Linked DNA regions of Cricetulus griseus. The protein of the gene in region 1 interacts with the protein of each later gene in a biochemical or structural test. Links are inferred from orthologs where the notes say so. Each region holds a gene or a part of one and is shown in the gene's direction. Other genes may lie near its edges.

Region 1 (9,665 bases):
GTTGAGGGTATTATGAGTGTGTTAGGGGAATAAACACCTAGGTGTGAATTTGTGTGCTTGCATGTGACTTCATTGTCTGTGCTTGTGTGTCCGCGTGGGGGTGGGGTGTGATGGGAGAGAGTGTGAATGAAGGATATTTGAGAATATGTGTATGTGTTTGGGAAGAGAGGCTGGGGGAAGGGGACTTCCCATTGTGAGGCTGTGTGTCTGAGTGTGAGTGCGTGCACTTGAGTGTGTCTGGGCATGGATGTGCGCTCTAAAGCTGGGATGCACAGATGTATGCCTCTCAGCTCTGGAGTGTGAGTGCATTTTTGCACTAGGATAACTGTAGTTTGGGCTTGGGCAGGAGTTTGGTCCCCTCTGCCAGGCCGCATGTCCTCTAGTCTTTGGGTTGGGGAAGCATCTTGTCAGACAGGCAATCACCCACATCACCAGTGCCGACGACCCCCCCCCATCTTCTCCGTCTTCCTCCGCTGCCCTCCCCTATCACCACAACCTCTGTCCCGTAACAGGATGGCAGTCCCATAGCTCTGCACCTCCTCCCAGTCCACCCTGTGCCCCACAGCTCCCTGTCCCAGGTCCAGGCTCTGGTTCTGGAAGACAGCAGGGTTGGTGCGGCTCTTCAGCGACGGTGCCGAGGGTCTAACCCAGCCCAGCCTAACCAATGTGCAGACTACTGTACAATTTGGGAGTCCTGAACAGGTAGTCTAAACACTGGGTAGACGGAGTGGAGGTATCCTCTGGTTCATCCAGGCGGCAGCATCAGTCCATCCGGTGGGAGCTTTGGCCCCATCCCCTAGAGATACGATGCCCCCAGCCCCAGCTCCCATGTCCCCCAGCCCCAGACAGCCAGCCGTGGTCCCTCTCTGCTCCCAACTCCCCTTCTGCCTCCTTTGACGTGGCAGGGGTGAGCGGGAGCTGGGCTGGAAGGAGGGGCCTGGGGAGGGGGCCGGCAGGAAGGGAGGGCTGGGGGAGGAGGCCACTCCTACCTAGTGTCCAACCCTGAGCACAAGGCGGCTGTGGCGGGCCTCCCTAGATGGGTTCCAGATGTTCCCTGGCCGCGTGTGCAACTTCCTCCTCTCCTCCCCCAGCCGCCCTCTGGGGCTCCCGGCCACCCGCCTGGCATAAAGAGGGCTTTATGTGGCTGCATAGGCCAGGCGGGTGTGTGGGGCAGAGGGGTGGAGATGGACGCCAGGGTGGGAAAGCAAGGTCCTCCTAAACCCAGCCCCCACCTGAGATCCTAGACAAAACTTGTCAAGTCCCACACAGACCATCCCTCCAGCATACGCCCGGTAGTATTGGGTGGGTGGCCAGGAGGTACAGGCAGCAAAAACTTCTCTCCTCCTTCCTGGTGCCCCATCTGAGGTGCCTCCTCCCAGGATCCCTGAATCCTTCCCCTGGGACACAGAGCCTACAGACAGAGCTGCATCTATCCACAGATTTATATAACTTCTTCCACAAAAGAACACAGCAACATGTCTAGGTCACTGCACAAACCATATGTAAACCATATGCTTCCTGGGGAGCAGGAAAATAGGGGTGGTGGGGCAGGGGAGGAGGGGAGGGAGAGGGAACTGAGATTGACATGTAAAAGAAGCTTGTTTCAATAAAAAAAAAAATACTTAAAAAACCCTAAAAAAAGACTATGACTCCATAGTCTTACACCCCATTCACAATTGCTACAAACACACACATTGACAAACATGAACATATTATTACCACATGGTCCAATGCATTCATGCAGCTATGTCCTATAGACACAAGTGCACACAATGGTGACAGACTCGCTTGGCCTTGCAACAACCACACAACCACACACATGTGCTCACAGACATGCAATTTCCAGGCTTGTGCTGTGTGTCTGATTGGTAACACATGGATGGCTGGAGGGGGGAGTGGGCTGAGCCTCTAGGGCTAGTGCAGTCCCCCCTCCCATCTCCATAGTCAGGAAATGAAGTCAGAGTCCACTAGGCTGGAGGCAACTGAGCCGCCACTGAGCCATCCCAGCCTGAGGCCCAGCCTGGCCTGTCTCCTGAACTTGCTAAGGGTGAGATGAGGGAGACCCTCTTAGTCTCAATGCCTTCGCCAGCCCCTTATGACATATATACAGGGCTACTAGGGTTGGCTTGAAAGCCATGGGGTCAGGGCTCCACGGCCAGCATTTACTGTACAGCTCCATGTGTGCTGGCAAGGACTAGAGCCCGAGACTACCTTGAGTGTTCACAATCCCAGGTGCTCGCCCTCATGGAACACTCTAAGGGATGGAGGCATGGCAGTGCCAGACTGACACCTCATTCCTACCCCTCCCAACAGGAGAAAGAGAAGAAGTACATGCTGTCTGTGGACAATCTGAAGCTTCGTGATGTGGAGAAGGGTTTCATGTCAAGCAAGCATATTTTTGCCCTCTTCAACACAGAGCAGAGGTGCCTGCTTGCCCCTGGCTGAGCTGCTGAGACCCCAGACCCTGCAAGCCCCAAACCATGCTGCTGTGTAGAAAATGGGTGCACAAATCCAGGGGCCTGCCCTCAGACAGCTACTCAGTTTCTCCTCAGTGCCAGGTCCATGTTTAGCGTCCTCCTCCCCTTACCCTTTTCTCCTCCCCCTCTGCTTCCTCATCCCCTCCCTCCTTTTTCACAGCCACTTAACTTACCTAGTGTCTGCTTGGCACAGAACAAAAGGTCTAAAGCCCTAGTCTCCTCTGGGATGGGCTCGGGACTAGACATCACTTCTCCAGTTCCAGGCTGGCTCTGATAGGTGCTCTTTCTTACTCAGAGATAAGAATCCCGAGCAGATGCCATCTGGAAGTCTCCAAAAAGCCAGGGAGGGTGCTGAAGGGGCCTGAGGCCCAAGCCAGGGCTGCCCTGCCTGGCTCTGCAGCCTTCCTTTTGTTTTGAGACAGGGTCTTAGTCTCATTTAAGTAGTCCAGGATGGTCTCAAACTGAAGATTGTCCTGCCTCAGCCTCTTGAGAACAGGCTTTGTCCCCCAGCTGAGAACCGTATTCAGGGCCTTATGCTTGCCAGGAAAGTGTTCTACCACTGAGCTAAATCCCCAACCCCTCAAGTAAGGGCATTAGGGTGTGCCACCATGCCTGACTTCAGTCCCTTTCTTTACATTGGGCTACTTTCCCTTTGAAGCATCCCAATGGCCACAGCAGACAGGAATCATTCCCAACCTACTTCCAAAATGAGAACACTGAGGCTTGAAGAGAGGAGGGACCTTGCCTAAGGTCAACAAGAAAGCCAGGGATGGATAGTAGGCATGAGGACCCTAAAGCCCACACATGTCACTATCCCCTGAACAGGGTGGGGCTTTTCCTCATCCCCCTCCCGCCTACCCCACCCTGCAGGAATGTCTACAAAGATTACCGGCAGCTGGAACTGGCCTGTGAGACACAGGAGGAGGTGGACAGCTGGAAGGCTTCCTTCCTGAGGGCTGGCGTATACCCTGAGCGCGTTGGGGTGAGTGGTGGTGGAGCGAGGGGAGGAGGGGCCAGCTGCTTGTACCCGGGGTTCCAGGGTACCAGGCTTTGAGAAGTTCTGAGTCCTTATTTGAGGCAAAGAGCAAGCTACCTGCATGGGTTTGGAACAAAGTCCTCTGGCTTCCCCATTTTCCTCCAGCGGATGCCAGAGAGCATCTCCTGAACTTTCATACACTGGTGGCTTCAAGTTGCCTTGTCCCATTTCCCTGTTACTGCAGCAGCGTCTACATGTACCAGGGTTTGGGTACATTGCACTAGGTTCATGTGATCCCTCCCTTTTTCTCTCTTTGTCTATTTCAAATGTGCTCCCTGGTGTTGGTGGCAATGCTGATATGGCTTCTGTGGCTCTGATGTGGGCCTCCAGGACAAGGAGAAGGTAAGTGTGTCCTCCCCCTGCTTCCTGCCAGGGTCCTCGAGCCTGGCACCAACTCTAGCCAAGTGAAGGAACTTGGAGATGATCTTTTCCAATGTATGGACTGAGAAATGGGGACGGATTCTAGACACTAGGGTCAGAGTCAAGTCAAAGCTGAACGTGGGGTGTCTGGGTCCTGAGAGGCACAGTGGTGAGCCTAGAGTCCCAGATGTGTTCTCAGTGCCTCTGTGTGGTAGATATCCTTGCAGGAGCTGAGGTCTTAGTGATATCGGGAGTCTGATTGCACGGGCCCTGCCATTCTGATACCCTGTGTTCCCAATGGCAGGCCAGTGAGACCGAGGAGAATGGCTCTGATAGCTTCATGCACTCCATGGACCCTCAGCTGGAGCGGCAGGTGGAGACCATTCGGAACCTGGTAGACTCGTACATGGCCATTGTCAACAAGACTGTGCGGGATCTCATGCCTAAGACCATCATGCACCTCATGATCAACAATGTATGTCCACAGCTGGGGTGGGGGAGGGAGCGGTGCAGGGTAGTTGTGTGGGACCAAGCAGCCAGCGGGCTTATCTTTCCTTTTGTATTATTTATATATATGCACAGGGCAGGGGAACTCAAACTCATGCCATTTGTTTTTGTGTAGGTAATGGGACAACTTGAGGGAGTTGGTTCTCTCCTTTCACCATGAGGGTCTCAAGGATTGAACTCGGGTCATCAGGCTTTGCACTAAACTATCCCATAATCCTCAAACCCTTATTTATTTACCTATTTTCAAGACAAGCACTCACTATGTAGCTCTGGCTGGCCTTGAGCTCACAGAGATCTGCCTACCTTTGCCACCCAAGAGCTGGGATTAAAAGTTTGGACACTATACCTGGTTCCAAAATCCTTAATTTTAATAGCCCATGATATCCAAAATACTATTGTTTTGACTTTTGAGCTAGGGTCTTGTTGTGGAGCTCAGGCTGACTTCAAACTTGTGGGTGACCTCTACCTGGCTCTCTCCATCTCCTGAGTGCTGAGGTGGCAGGCATGTCCCACAATAACTGGCTCCAATCTAAAAATACATTAGTTATACATTGCACACTGTTTTCCCATTAAGCTTTTGTAAACCCACTCCAGATGTTACACATCTGGTGGAAATGTCATCTTAATTTGAATTCCAGGAAACTTGCAGTTGAAAAATAGATACACATACCCAGATTGTCCCAAACATGCATGTTCTTCAGGAACAGCCAATAGTCTCCATTTTTTGAAATGAAACACAGCTCTCAGAGCCACCACAGACTGTGGCTTAGTGAAAAAGCAGGGCCCCAGGACAGCAGAAGTGGGTTGTGATGAACCTCCATCTCTGACTCTATTTCCTAATGTATAAACCATGGATGGTAATAATAGAGCTGAGAACAGCATTGCTTATGAAGTGTGGAGCAGCACAGAGCCTGGCTCATGGAGGGGGGGTGTTCGTAGATTGTTGGGTGAGGAGGCAGTGAGATTGGAGCAGGCTACAATGTGTCAACAAGTCACAATACTGCCCCACACTGGGGCAATCTTTTTTTGTTTGTTTTGTTTTGTTTTTTTGAGACAGGGATTCTCTGCATAGTCCTGGCTGTCCTGATGCTCACTTTGTAGACCAGGCTGGCCTTGAACTCACAGAGATCCTCCTGCCTCTGCCTCCAAAGTTCTGTGATTAAAGATGTGCAGCACCACCGCGCAGCACTGCCTGGGGATTTTAAATGGGAATTAAACCTCCACTACACACACTGATACTTCTCACTCAATCCAAGGACACATTATAATTATGTTTATTTCTTTCTTAGGGACTCAGGACATTTTAAACTATCTCCTTCCTTATTTGGGTCTTGGGAAAGGCTCATAAACTTAGTAGGCAGTTGTCCTAGTGGCATGCTAGGTTTCTGAGTCTCATCCCAGATCACAGACAGAGGGCAAGTGACTTCCCTCTCTGGCTATGTCTGAGAAAAGGACATTAGATGGGGTTTGGAGAGACCTACGGGTTTGGGCACCAAGCAGAAGTAGGCATCTGAAATGCCAAACTCCAGCTCCCAGTTCTACACCTAATCCCAGAAGGTCTGGCCAGCGACAGGGTGGCATGGTCATCAGGTTCCTTCCGTCTCTGCTCTCTCACAGACCAAGGAGTTTATCTTCTCCGAGCTGCTGGCCAACCTGTACTCTTGCGGGGACCAGAACACACTGATGGAGGAATCGGCCGAGCAAGCTCAGCGGCGCGATGAGATGCTGCGCATGTACCACGCACTGAAGGAGGCGCTCAGCATTATCGGCGACATCAACACGACCACCGTCAGCACGCCCATGCCCCCGCCCGTGGACGACTCCTGGCTGCAGGTGCAGAGCGTACCGGCCGGACGCAGGTACCAGGGCCGGCCCCCACGGCCCCAAAGCCCCCCAGCCCGGGGCCCGCGGGAGGAGGGCCGGGACCGGGCAGTGGCGCGCCCGGGTCTCGGGGGCTCCCACCTGGAGCGAGGGGCGGAGCTTAGAAGAGGGCGGGCTTGTCGCGGGGCGGGGCTTGCCGTGAGCGCTGGCTGCAGGACGGGTGGCGCCGCTGGGGGGACGAGGCTTCGGCTCCGATGCTGCCCGCGGCCGCGGTGGGCGGGGCTTGCTGCATGGGCGGGGACAGCCTGGGCTGGGGGCGGGATCCCTGTTGGGGGCGGAGCCGCTCATATCTGCTCCTCTCTTCTGCCCTTGTCGCCCGACCGTAGATCGCCCACGTCCAGCCCCACGCCGCAGCGCCGAGCCCCCGCCGTGCCCCCAGCCCGGCCCGGGTCGCGGGGCCCTGCTCCTGGGCCTCCGCCTGCTGGATCCGCCCTGGGGGGGGCGCCCCCCGTGCCCTCCAGGCCGGGGGCTTCCCCTGATCCCTTCGGCCCCCCTCCCCAGGTGCCCTCGCGCCCCAACCGCGCCCCACCTGGGGTCCCCAGGTGAGTAGGGGCTGAAAGCGGCGGCGGGAAAGGCCTCCAGGCGGGCGTGACTGGGAGGGAGGTGGAGTCGGATTCTAGATCCTTGGCCTAGCGGTGGAAGCGACCCTCTCCATCCCAGGCGCTGGGGTTGGTGGTGCAAGGCCAAGAGACCGGCGGCCGCAACGGGCTGACGGCCCTGCCCTGCAGGGGGCGCTGAGTCCCGGAGGTGGTCGTTTCTGAGGAGGGGGCTCTGGAACTTATACCACTCGCCCCCTCCTTTTCAGCACTTGCATGGCGCTTCCTTTTTTCATTTTCTCTTCATTCTTCCCACATTTTGCATTTCTAACCCTTGCCCTCCATTCTCCTCCATTCCATCCTCCACTCACCCGCCCAGCTCCTCACGTCTAGGGCTCTGACCCCAGATCCTCCTTTTGAGCCGTGTGGATTTCTTCAGTTGCATTCAGAACTGCCTTGATGCCCCATTTCCAGCCCTGACTCTTTTAAGCTGTCCCAGAATGATGTCCAGCCTCTGGCCCACAGCATCAGGCCAGGCTGTGATTGTATGACTAGCAAGATGTGTGATGTGTGTGGGCGTGCACACGGGTGAGAATGTGAGAGTGGCACCCAGGCATGGAGTAGGATAGGAAGCAGCCGAGGAAGGAATCTGGGAATCGTGGACAATCTGGTGGTCTGGAACCAGATGGTGGATGTGGGCCAGGGACAGGAACTGAAGACTGCCCTCCTGCCAGAGATCTCTCGGGAAAAGAAACACACTTCATCCCTTGGCTTTGCCTTCTTGATCCATGACTGGCTTTCCAGGAAGTTCACTCTAATAGCTTACTCAGTCTGCCCAGTTTCCACAGACTATGGTCTTTGAGAAAGAACACAGTATCAGACAGACCAATAGCATCCGTTTGGTCTAAATGACTGAAGGGCAGAGCTGGGGGTCTAAAACGCATACACCAAATGAGGCATGGATGGGCCTGCTCTATGGGGCTCCAATGACGAAACAGCAGGGTAAAGGCAGGAGCATATCCTGGGACTGGGAGTCCAGAGATGCTGGTCCACTTCCCTTTAGCAAGTCATCTTCCCTCCTAGGGCTTCAGTTTCCCTTCTCCTTTTCCAAGGTAGTGTCAGATGGGGGGGAGGGCTGCTATATTGATTGTAAATGTGGCTGGCTGTAGGGTGGGGCAGGTTGGAGAAAGATTTGTGGAGACTTAACGCTGTGCAAAATCATGGAAGGTTATTATTGGGCAGAGCTGACACCTGGGTCCTAGAATGCAAGCCCTTATCCCTTACGGAGCAGTGTGGTAACCCTGTCAGCACACCAGGCCTGAGTGTGCAGGGAGCTGGTGCAAAGGTCTTCTGTGTGCAAGCGAGCTTCTGTGTTGTGACAGCTCATGCGTGTGCTTCAGTATGCTGAGTGGCTGCATGTCCCAGATCCGTGCTGCACGTATTGGCCGGCAATGGTGCTGGGCACTGGGAGGTGGGAGGGGAGATGTATGCGTGTTTGTGGGCATGTGTGTTAGCGTGTGCATGCAGGGCCTTGAGGCCTCACAGCATGTGTGTGCACGCCCAGGCGTGTGCGTGCGTGTGTCCCCTAACCCCACGCCTGGCCCACCTGTGTGTTTGTGAACTGCCCTGTTGATTTCGTGCTGTCTTTCAGAATCACTATCAGTGACCCCTGAGGAGTATCAGCTACGGTAGGTTATGCTCTCAGCCTGCTGCATGAAGTGTGTCTGCCCCCTCCCTCCTCGATGCACCAGCTCCATGCTGAGGACAACCTTGGGGCCTCTGAGCCAGGCCCCTCCCCCTTCTGCAGCTCTAGACTCCTCCTTCCTGTCCTCTGCCAGCTGGCTCTTTCTCTTCCCAGTGAGCCCCGGGACTCAGCGCCACTACTCAAGGCCTTCTTGACTAAATGAGGGCTCTTGGGACAGGTTCTGCGCCCATGTTGGTAGAAGTGGGTACTCCCTGGAGCTGTCAGACATTGTTGACAGTGTAGGGACTGAGGGCTTAGGATGTGTGTGGCTAGCTTCTGAAGGGGTTAGAGGCCTTAGGACTTCATCTTCATACCTAGTCTAAATTGTGCTGCCAAGAGAGATTCCAGCTCCCAACCTGACATTAGCTCAGCCAGGGCTCTGATTGGTTGATTAGTTCAGAAGACTTAAAAAGACCTTTGCCATTCTGTCAGCCCATAACAGCTCACAAGCAAGGCAAGGGCAGGTAACTCCCTTTCCCCTTCCTCCTTGATATTACACATCTGCAATTAATGGCCATGTCCTCAGCCCCAGATATAGAGTCAGCCCATTAGCTCTTACACTTGGCCTCTTCTGGGAGTGACCTGTACCTTTTAGCTAACCACACTGCAGTGTCAAATGACTTGGCAAATCAGCTTGAGTCCTGCCTGGCTGGCCACAGGATCTCTCTGTGATCTGTCCCAGCTCTTCTGCAGCCATTGACGCTCACCTTCTGCTTTTCCCCAGCAGGAAGGGCCCAGCCTCACCTACGAGACCTGCAGCCCCCCGGCCAGCGGAGGTTCCCCTCTTAGACTTATAAGTCTGTGGCCACAGGCATTGCCTCCCAGCCTCCTCAGGATCCCCTCAGTGGACTCCTGGGCTTTTTGACCACCTGAGGGGCCTTCAGTGCTCCCTCCAATCATCCCCTTTAGCTTTGCTCTCCTGGTTCAAGCACTTCTAGCCTCATGGCTGTTACATGGGACTCCCTGAGGCTTGCGGTGGCCCTGGGCCAGTGGGATGGGAGAAAGAGTGACCAGAGAAGAGGGAGGCCCTATGGGCACATTGCCTGGGTGGTGTGTGAGAGGCCGTGTGTGTGGCAAGAGAGGGCCACCCAGCCTCCACCCAGACTACCTGCTAGTTATGACCC
Region 2 (10,355 bases), on another chromosome or scaffold:
AAATAAAAACCTCAGGAAGTATGTAAGCACACCAAAATCCATGCATGTAGAGCCATAAATAGAACTGTTTTTTTGTTTGTTTTGAGACAGTGGCTCTCTATGTAGCCCTGACTGTCCTGGAACTTAATAAATAGACCAGACTAGCTTACATACTCACAGAGATCCTCCTCCCTCCGTTCCCAAAGGCATGCACCGCCATGCCTGGCTCAGAACCTGTCTTTGAGTAAATGCCTTTAAACAGATGGCTCAGGTGTAGAAACTCCACCTGCGAGGCGATTTTTTAAGTGAACAAAAAACCCCTTCAGTAATATGGGGAGCATTCCCATACATTTTGCTATATGAAATTCAGACTCAACTCTGGACAACCTCAGCTGTCCAGAGTGGAGACAGCCTCGTCACCCCGGCTTAGACTCGGACTCCTACCTAGAACACCCATGCCCCTTTTCTCCTATTTGAATGGAAGAAAGGTAACATTGCCCTGTTTTCTACTGCCAAAAAATATGGGTTTTCCTGAAAGACATCCTTTCTTTAGAATTTTTATTACATTTTAATTAATTTGTTGTTGGGAAGGCTTGTGGGATTGATTCTCTCCTTCTACCTGTGATAGAATTCAGATGGTGAAAGGCCAGATCAACCTGGAGCTCATCATCCTCCTGCCTCAGCTTCTAAGATGCCGGAACTGCAGGTACAAATTACCACACCCATCTTGTCTTTATTACCAATAGTGTTGGTAAAAAAGTTCTGCCTTGGTTAAACAAAAACAATGCTCCATGATAGTCTAGGTAGTTTTATGAATGTTAGTTATGTCTTCATAAAATCTTAAGCCAGTCAGGACAACAGATCCAGCCTTGCTGGATCTTACTGGGCTGTGTGTGTGTTTGGGGGTGGGGGTGGCATATCTTTGGTGGTCAGAACCGTAGCAGAGGGCCGGAATTATCCCAGAAGTGGATGGAGATGGAGGACGCTGCTCTCTATCCCAGAAACTGCCTATCCACTAACGTCCAAGCTTTCAGACTGGTATAACATACTCAGAAGGGACCATCCTAAGTGCCCCAAGTGGTGCTCAATTGGTGAACTCTTAGTCCATCAGGATGCGACCCCCTCCAGTCTCAGGGTAGGACTCAGGGTAGGATTCCGTGCCAACTGCTGGGAGTACAATTCAGAGTCAAGCAGGGGGACTAGGCACCCCACATTTAGGGAAGCCTGCCTCATGCTACACAGAGTCCTGACACGTACCCCGCAGGGCTATATCACACTCACAAAAGCGAGCTTCCTGGTCATGCTTGCCAGGCAAAGTCTCCATCATCCTGGGCTTGCCCTGCCCGAGACAGCTGCGGGGTACTCTGGTGTCCAGAGCTCAAGTGACCACAGGCCTCAGTTTCCCCACCCACTGCAAAGGTCTGACTCACTCGAGAATTCGCAAATACATTTAATAATTTGCAAAAGTGACGCTACCCCCCTTCCCGGCCTCAGTTTCCCCACCTGCAACAAGAGGACACAGATGCATTCAGGACCCATCAAGGGCGACCCGGGGCCTGTTTCCCCATCAGCTACTAGGCCCTCGTTATTTGGGCTACACGGAACCTTCGGGAGCCTGCAAAGCTGACCCTTCCCCCTCCCCGGGGCCTCAGTTTCCCCTTTGCGAGCCCTCGCGTCTCCGCATCTCAGCCCCCAAGCACCGGGCGCGGACCCGGTCCTTCGGGCCGCAGCTTCACCCACCTACGGCTGGCGGCGTCGCGGCGTCCGGCTCCTCTAGCATCGCGGCGGCGACCCCGCTACGCTCTCCGCCTCCCGCCGGTGGCGCTACTGCTGCCGCCGCGGCCGCCGCGCTCGTATTTGGCGGGAACCGCGGCAACCACCGCGGCCCGTGCGCCGATTGGACGGGAGCCCGTCACGTGACAGCCCTGCCTCAGGAAAAGAGGGGCGCTCGGCGCGTCCTCGCGAGAACTGCGGGTCATACGCCCAAAAATCCCGCGGGAGGTGGAAGGAGGAGGACTCCTTTCCGGCGGTTCTTGAGTGGCTACGGAGCGGCACGTTTCTACTGGTAGGATGCAATGTCAATCTAAGAGCCCTCCCTTTTATTGGCTATTCGTGGGAGGAAGTGGGGCGGTTACGTCACGATCCGCGCCAGTGACAACTTGAAATTACTGATTAGAGGAGGAATCTGAAGTGAGTTTATCCTAATTAGTGATTGGTTCAAAGTAGCTACAGCAATTAAAACTGGGGATCACTTCCTTTCATTGTTAATTCACAAGTACTTCCTGTTTTAACTATAAATTACTTAAAAAAAATATGAGTTACTTTTCTGAAATGATGAACCGCTTTTTTAAAAATTACGATTTGCTTTATTTATAAGTAGAATTTTTTTGTTGTAAGATTATAAATTACTTTCAAAGTCGTTAATTACCTTTTTAGTGTGAATTACTTTGAAGATATATTAATTTAAAAAAATTGTTCATTGAGTTTGGTGGTGGGAGCTTTAAACCCTAGTACTTGGGAGGCAGAGGCAGGCAGATCTCTGTGACTTTGAAGACATCCAGGCCAGGTCTGCATAGCCAGTTCCAGGCCAGCCAGCGATACAATGTATCAAAACATTATTAATTGCCTTCTTTTTTTTCTTTCCTTTTTTTGAGACAGGATCTCACAATGCAGCCGTGCTGGCCTGGTACCCACCAACCAGTTTCTAAAATGTTTCATCTGTTAGGTGGAGAAAGAAACCTTTCCCTCCTTCATCTGCAAACAGCTCAATGCCCACAACAGTTCTTTTCTTGAAGTTGTGGCTAGTAAGTGGGTTCTTAATAGAATAACTGTATGAATTGCTTTTTGGCCATAAACTCAGTGAAAGTGTCAAGGATCTCATCAAACCTTTGACTTGCTGCGGAAGTATAATCAGATTGCACTGTGCAGATCTTCTTGTACACCTGTCAACCCTGCACTTGGGAGAGGAAGGCAGGAAGATCCAGAATTAAAGGCCAAGGCAGGTTGAAGTTGACACCAGCTTGGGCTCCATGAGACTCCATCTCAAAACCCATATAAAATAAAGAACATCCTTGTATCAACCTGTGGTGGCTAGCATGCTAGGAATCTGGCTGCAGTCTCCAGTTACACACACACACACACACACACACACACACACACACGTTTTTGAAACCAGACTTGTCGTCATAAGCCTGTCATTGCAGGAGCAGGAAGGTGAGGCAAGAGGATCAGGAATTGAAGACCAGCTTGTGCTATGTGGGATCCTGTCTCAAACAAAACCTATTCGTAATCCACCATGTACAAAGGCTCCTATAGTCATGAGCAATAAGGATGACATTCACATGTTCTTTTCATCTACCACACTGCATTCTGTTGAGTCACTGGGAACCTTCCAGAAATCTTGGCTTCATGGAATCACTTGTCAGCAATTTCAACACCAGATTTTTAAAATTCTTTACCCTAAACATTTTCCTGTTCCTGCTTTAGGATCTATTTACTCATCACCCCCATTTTATTATTAATCTCCAAGTCATGCTAGAATGGTGTGGAACCGGTTATGTAGCCCAGGCTGGCCTCAACCTCAAAGATCCATCTATCTGCCCGGCTTCTCAAGTGCTGGGATTAAAGGTGTGCACTGCCACCTCTGGCATATTCTTTATGCTTTTTGAAATCCATAACACAGTTGATCTAAGGGTTAAGGTACCAGTGTCAGTCTGGGTCTCACCAAGGAGGTGGCATTCCAACACTCTTTCTTGCTTTTGCTTCAGTTGCTTTTGACCAAGCGTTTTTGCTTTCCTTTGGGTTTTGCTTTTGTTGTCAGAGCATTTAGTCACAGCTACGGGAAGAGAAATGAAGACGTCTACCTTCTAAACTGGAGACACCCTAGGTTGAGTGTTTTTATATTGTTTATCTTTTAAGTTATGGGTATACGTGTGATCCTGCAGACTTGGGCGCAGTTGACCGAGGAGGCCACGAGAGGGCGGATGGATCTGAAGCGAGCGGCCCGATGTGGGTGCGGCGGAACCAAACTCCCTCCCGGTCACCGCCACGCCAGCCAGCCATCCGTCCCTCTAACGCCTCGGAAATTTCATTTTACTTGGCTTTGTCTTGTTTTCATTTTATTCTCTATTTCATTTATTGTGTGTTCCAGCGGCCCGGCACAGCCGTGAGCTGTCAGGAATCTTTCCTTGGGGGCCCAGTGAGACGGCTGTGAGTAAAGTTCTTAAGCCGAGCTTGGATACGTGAGTTCGATCCCGGAGATTCGACTACCGCAGCCGTCCTCTGGCACGCACGCCGCGCCCCCTTCCCCACGCACGCACTAATTAACTAATGGACGCTGGCTTTGACTTTATGTCCTCCTCCTACTACTCCTCGGCTGTAGAGGGAGCTGCAGCTCTCCGGCCTCTCCGGGCGCCCCTCATCTCGTTGCTGTGGGCGGGTTTTTTCTCCCCTACCTTCCCGCTGCAATGCGCTCTCCGGCCTACAGGGGCGGCGCACGCGCACAGAAGCCGGACGCGCGCGCGCGGATGCCGCTGGGAGGGGCAGAGGCGAGGTGGGGGCGGCACCGGAAGTGTGTGGTTGCCATGTAATATCCCGGCCGCGCGTGCGCGCTAGCGGGCCGAGGTGTCTTCCCCGGCGGGCGCGTAGAGCTGGCGAGCTGCTTTGGCGGAGGCGGCGCCGAGTAGCGCGCGGAGGAAGGAGGTCGGTTCGGCGACGCCGGCGGAAACCTGAGTCCGGGCGGGAGGCCCGACGGCGGGAGGCGACATGTCGGTTGCGGGGCTGAAGAAGCAGTTCTACAAGGCGAGCCAGGTGAGGCGCGGCCGGGCGATCCGGGCTTGGGCCTGGCTCGCGGGACCGCGAAGGAGCCAGCTCCGGGAAGGGAAAACCGGGCCCCCGGGCTGCACAGGGGCACGGGATGTGCGTGTCTAACCGGCTTGCCACCGAGCCTCACGACCTGATTTCGGTCCCAGGGACCCAGGGTGGAAGGAGGGAACCCAGGTTTCCAGGCTGTGTGTATCCGTGACTCTTGCCACATAGCCTCAGGCCACAGAAAATGTGTGTCTGGGCTGTTTTCCCCCCCCCAAAAAAAATCTTGATAACATTTACGAAGTCCACACAGGACTTAGAAAAATAAGTGGCCCATCTCTTTTTCTTCTGTGTCTCCAAAATAGATTGCAAAAACAACCCCCCCCAAGACACTCGCCAGGAGGTACACATCTTTAGTACCAGCATTCTGGAGACAGAGACAAGCAAGCAGATCTCAAGAGTTTGAGGCCAGTCAGGATTATATAAGGAGACCCCGTTTCAAAAACGAAATAAAAAAGAAGAATCTCTTGGTAGACACTGTGCCAAGTTGAAAAGAGACAGTGAAAAGTAATTTTCCAAGCTTCTCCAGTTACAAAATGTCACAGACTTTGTGTCCCCATTTCCAAGTCCGTGTGTGTTTCTTTGAAAGATACATTGATATGGCTGTGCTGAACTGTAGATTCCTGGGTACTTGGTGGTTTGGGTTCACTGCTTCTTGGAGCATGAATCTGAACTGAAATTCTACATCCTGGCTGTGTGTGTTCTCCAGGGTGGGCATCCTGGGCTCTGTTGCATCCTTACATATTGAAAACCCCACCCCATGGCAGGAGCTCCATTCATCTTGAAAACAGATGTCTTCCGACATCCCATAATGTAACATCCCTCTGGAACTTTTTTTGTTTGTTTGTTTTTTTCGAGACAGGGTTTCTCTGTGGCTTTGGAGGCTGTCCTGGAACTAGCTCTTGTAGACCAGGCTGGTCTCAAATTCACAGAGATCCCCCCTGCCTCTGCCTCCTGAATGCTGGGATTAAAGGTGTGTACCACCACGGCCCGGCTCCTCTGGAACTTTTTTGTTTGCTTTTTCAGACAAGGTTATGCTTTGTAGTCCAGGCTGACCCAAAATTTCCTCCTTCCTCTGCCTCCTGGGTGCTGGGATGACAGGGTGCCACAGTTCAAACTTGCCTTCATGTATTGGAGGTCTTACATTGCCTTGAACTCCTTGGCACTGTGAGCCTGATTTCTCAGCCTTTGAGTGCTGGGACTCTGTCATATGTTCCCTTGAACAAGCTCTTGTGTTCTCTCTGTCCCAGTCTGAGGCTAGAGTGACCTCATATTCATTATCCCCGTCTCTGCATCCTTGTGCTGTTGCCACCAAGCCTCACTAGTGAGATTGTATTTGTAAGATAAATTTCCCAGAAGTGGTTTGCCAAGTTCATATCTGTGAGTTTTCCCTTGTCTGTTTTGAGTTTCTTTTCTTCTGTCTTCCCCTTCAGGTTTCTCTCTCTCTCCTTCCCTCCCTCCCTCCCTCCCTTCCTCTCCTCCCTCTCTCCTCTTCCTCCCTCCCCCCCCCCCCCCCGCGCGCGCGTGCGTGCGTGCGTGCATGCATGCATGTATGTATGTATGTATGTATGTATGTATGTATGTATGTATGTATGCATACACGCATTCATGCGTGCTAGGTTTGGAACCAAGGACCTTGCCCACAGTAGCAAATGTTCTACCTTGAGCTATGTCCGTATGAAACACTTGGTCGCTACTCCTGTCACCATAGAGGTCACCAGGGTCAAGGCTGGTGTGTCTTCAGTCTGTGCATCCCTTCTGGTGCTACTCTCAGCTCAGAGGCCTGTCCTCAGTCAAGGATGTTGGAGCAGCTACACTCCCCTTCTAGAACAGGGCCCAGGCTTGTTGGTTTAGTCTGTGGCCACACTATCTGATAGGCCGTGGCAGGATTTTAGCTGTAAGTTCAAGTTGAAGAACCTGTCTATATCTCAGAACAGCAGCAGGTGATCTGGGTGTGTAGCTTAGTTGGTAGAAGGCTTGTCTACCACGCAGGAAGCCCTGGGTTTGTTGCGAATTGAGTTCCAGGGGTATGTAGTAAAACACTCAGAGGCATGCAACCCATGGATCTGTGCAGGGAGCCCTGTGAACCTAGAGTTTGTTGCCTGGTTTCTGCTCCAAGAAGCCCCAGATGTGCTAATCCTGTGGTTATGCAGTGCAGGCTGAGAATCCTGGGTGTGGAGCTGGCTCGAGTAGATTCCACAGAGAGATGAGCAACAGTGTGAGGAATTGCTTGGGCTGTGCCTGCAAGAAGGGCTCTCCCCATGGTCCAGAGAGGCCCAGCCAGAGGGAGCAGGCATCTGGTGCTTGCTGTCACTCCAGGGGCCAAAAGGAATGGCCCTAGCTTGCCTAAGGATAAAGACATCTGGGCTCTATGTGTGGACCTTGGAGGGAGGCTAGCACATGTGTGTGTGTGTGTGGGGGGGGGTAGAGATGAAAGAAGAAAGTGCAGGAATGTTGAGTATGGCAGTGCACACCCCCAGCTGGGGTTGAGTGGGTTGCACCCATGCAGGAAGTACTGTAGGCAAGCTCTGGGGGTGCTGCCAGCCTGGGCCTGAGACTACCCTCCTGTTTGAATCCCTGTGCTCTCTAGAGGCTCCTCCCCCACTGATTCCCAGCAGGCACTTCGGGAAGGACCCAGAGGGGCAGCCACCAGACTTTGCCTCTTGGAGGGCCACCATCCAACCTGCCTATAAACCTGGAAAGTCCCACTCAACTCAGGTCAGTTTACTGTTTGACATTTAGGGCCCTGTCCCAAAGAATGACTGCTGTGCCCAGGAGTCTGAGCCAGCTCTAAAGAGCTACAAACAGATGGCCCTCAGCCCAGCCTCCTGCAGGAGTTTCCTCAGTTCCTCAACATCCTACTCTTACAGCTGGGTCCCGCTTGTGTGTCTCTTTTCTCTATTAAGTAACACCTCCCTGGTTGTCTCCTGAGTCCCCAGAAAATTCTTTCTTGCCAGAAAGAGAAGCCATAAGCCAGGTGTGATAGGGCATGCCTATAATCCCTGTAGGTTCCAGGCCAGTCTGGGCTACATAGTGAGAGCCAGCAGGAGAGAAGCTGGGGCTCAGTGGGTAGAACATTCACCCAGTTTATAAGGAAGCTCTGGGATCTGCCCCCAACTCCACATAACCCCTGTGTAGGAGCTCACACTTGTCATCTGGAGTTGGAGGCAGGAGGATCAAGGAGTTCAGCTGCATAGTATGTTTGAAGCCAGCTTGGACTACATGAGACCCTATCTCAAAGAAGATAAAAGAATCCTCAGCCCACATTGTCTCAAATCAGAAATGACTGGTTATGGAAAGATGTTCAGGGGTGCTGAGGCAAGGTATGGATGGAGCTGGAAGCCAGGATGGGCAACTGGACTGTGGCTCCGGTTCCACTGGTTTGAGCTTCACAGGTCCCCAGCTCATCACCCAGCCAAGCCTGCAGGTACATGTAAATGTGTAAAATGAGCTTGGGTGTTGAAGGAAGTTGGGGGTTTCACTTCCTATGGGGAAGTGGAGAGATGGTGGCTCTGCTCTTAGCTGTGATCCCCACCGTCTCCTCACCCTGGTGTGTGTGGAGGACTGAGGGTTCTGAGGAAGTCAGGGTATCAGATAGAAGTGGCCTGTGGCTCAGAAGTTTGTTTGGTGTCTTCACTGTTAGCCTGAGCTGGCTGGTTTCCTGGTCATTCTGTGATGGCCTGGAGATGGAATGTAACTAAGGATGCTGCTCCTGGCATGGAATGCAGACCTCACCCCACCCCCCACCACCCCAACCCCCCCCCCACAACCTCTTTTTTGCCTGAGAGAAAGGGAGGTTTGAAAAGAAAGATTGGTTGATCTGACCTTGGAAGAAAATTGCCAACTGTTTGACTGGAGTGCCAGGCAAGTGCTTGGTGGGCCCTGCCCCCTACACACACACACACACACACACACACACACACACACACACACACACACACACGCAGACTTGGGACTCTGTGGGTTTGGGGATGTAACTATTGTCTGCCTGTCTGTCGTCTGTCTGTCTGTTCCCTCCCTCCCTTCCTCCTTCTCCCACTCCTCTCTCACACATTCTGTAGAGGGAGGTAGAACCCAAGGCCTGTAGATGACACCCCAGCCCTGGCTATGACTTCCTCCACATGAGGCCACGTTGATTGTGTGAGCTGAAAGTCCACCTGAGTCAGAGCCCTGGGCTCTCAATGCAGCACCCCAGCTAATCGTTTACCATGGTGTGCTAGGCCAGACCATGGAGCAGCTCCATCTCTGGACATTACAGCAGGCCACTGTGACAGGAAAATGGGGACTGTCACATCTGGTTTATAAGCCCCATCACCATCATTCCTTTAGGGACATGGTGTCTGAGTGTTCCATGTCCCACCTCACTTGTTAGTACCCATTCCCTTCTCCCTGTTCTTCAGCCTGGGCCCTTCCAGAGAGGCAGGCCCCTGCTACGTGTGAGTGCCTGCAGAGCATGTACATGTATCTGTGTGTGTGCATATATGTCCATTCCCCTCCACCAAGCACAGCCTTTGATCGGGAGACCCAGGAAACAGCTGTACCCTCTCTGCCCCTCCACAACTCATTTCCCTTGTAGGATTTGAGATGCCACAGCAGGCAGCTGTGGGGGGAGTGGAACCAGGCCCAGGTTTGGCTCTCTGCTTGGCACCCCATGCTCCAACCCAGGGCTTGCTTGCTTGCTTATTTATTTATTTATTTATTTATTTATTTATTGTGGGGAAGGATCAACCTCAGGTGTTATTCCTGCTGTACAATCTACCACTGGGACCTGGGACTCACCACTAAGACTAGCCTGGCTAGCCAAGAGTCCCCATGTCCAGCAGCAGTGAAATTGCCTGTCTCCACCACACCCATGTTTTCATGTGCGAGCTGAGATTCCATGTGGCAGGCACTGTACCAACTGAGCCGTCTCATTCCCTATTTACTTACTTTTATTCTTCTGAATTTTTGTTTGTTTGTGGGATGGGGGTCTCATTCAAACCCCATGCTGGGATCATGGGTGTGTAGCTATATAATGGCTGAATCTCTGCTGTCTCGTTCTCTCTTAAGCGCTCCTTGGAAAGCTAGAAAGAAAACTTCATTTTCTGGCAGCTGCTCCGCTCGGCCTCCCCCTGCCAGGGGCCACCCCTGCTGCCTGGGTGGGCGCCCCTCTGCTCCCTCTTCCTGCCCTTTGCAGGTCCACAGGATGCCTCATCTTCCTTTTCCGCTCAGCTCCTAGAAAACCTGCTGATTTGAGCCCCTGGGGGTCACGGGACACTTCCCAAGCACTTCGGGAACACAGCTGTGGCTTCCTCCCAGTCCCTGACTCAGCACCTGCTGGCTGACCTCTCTAGAGAACTCCCATAAGTGGGTTCCTTCCCTTCTGGGTGATCCTCAGTGTTAGCCCCCAGGATATACGGAGGGTGGATAACCCCTGAGAACTAGCATGTTTGCTTAGCATTTCAGGGTGACACAGATGACAGGTGCCCTGCTGCCTTGTCCTGGGTCACCAAGTCTATGATGGGGACTGT

Evidence for each region.
Region 2: the proteins of Dnm1 (region 1) and Sh3gl1 form a complex in vitro, tested with the Homo sapiens proteins (2 studies listed by BioGRID and IntAct, with this or other methods). The link is inferred for Cricetulus griseus from reciprocal best matches to the Homo sapiens genes DNM1 and SH3GL1.

What each region holds. Positions count from the first base shown.
Region 1 is NC_048599.1:144,044,139-144,053,803, reverse strand, and holds part of Dnm1 (dynamin-1), read left to right. Parts: intron 1-2,313; coding exon 2,314-2,423; intron 2,424-3,347; coding exon 3,348-3,459; intron 3,460-3,843; coding exon 3,844-3,855; intron 3,856-4,177; coding exon 4,178-4,348; intron 4,349-5,997; coding exon 5,998-6,239; intron 6,240-6,587; coding exon 6,588-6,803; intron 6,804-8,085; coding exon of another isoform or gene 8,086-8,087; intron 8,088-8,448; coding exon of another isoform or gene 8,449-8,470; exon of another isoform or gene 8,471-8,485; intron 8,486-9,265; coding exon 9,266-9,338; 3' UTR 9,339-9,665. UniProt on the Homo sapiens protein: Catalyzes the hydrolysis of GTP and utilizes this energy to mediate vesicle scission and participates in many forms of endocytosis, such as clathrin-mediated endocytosis or synaptic vesicle endocytosis as well as rapid endocytosis (RE).
Region 2 is NC_048598.1:97,508,874-97,519,228, forward strand, and holds the start of Sh3gl1 (endophilin-A2), read left to right. Parts: upstream 1-4,572; 5' UTR 4,573-4,743; coding exon 4,744-4,788; intron 4,789-10,355. Other genes in the region: Chaf1a (chromatin assembly factor 1 subunit A), read right to left, coding at 1,720-1,759. UniProt on the Homo sapiens protein: Implicated in endocytosis. May recruit other proteins to membranes with high curvature.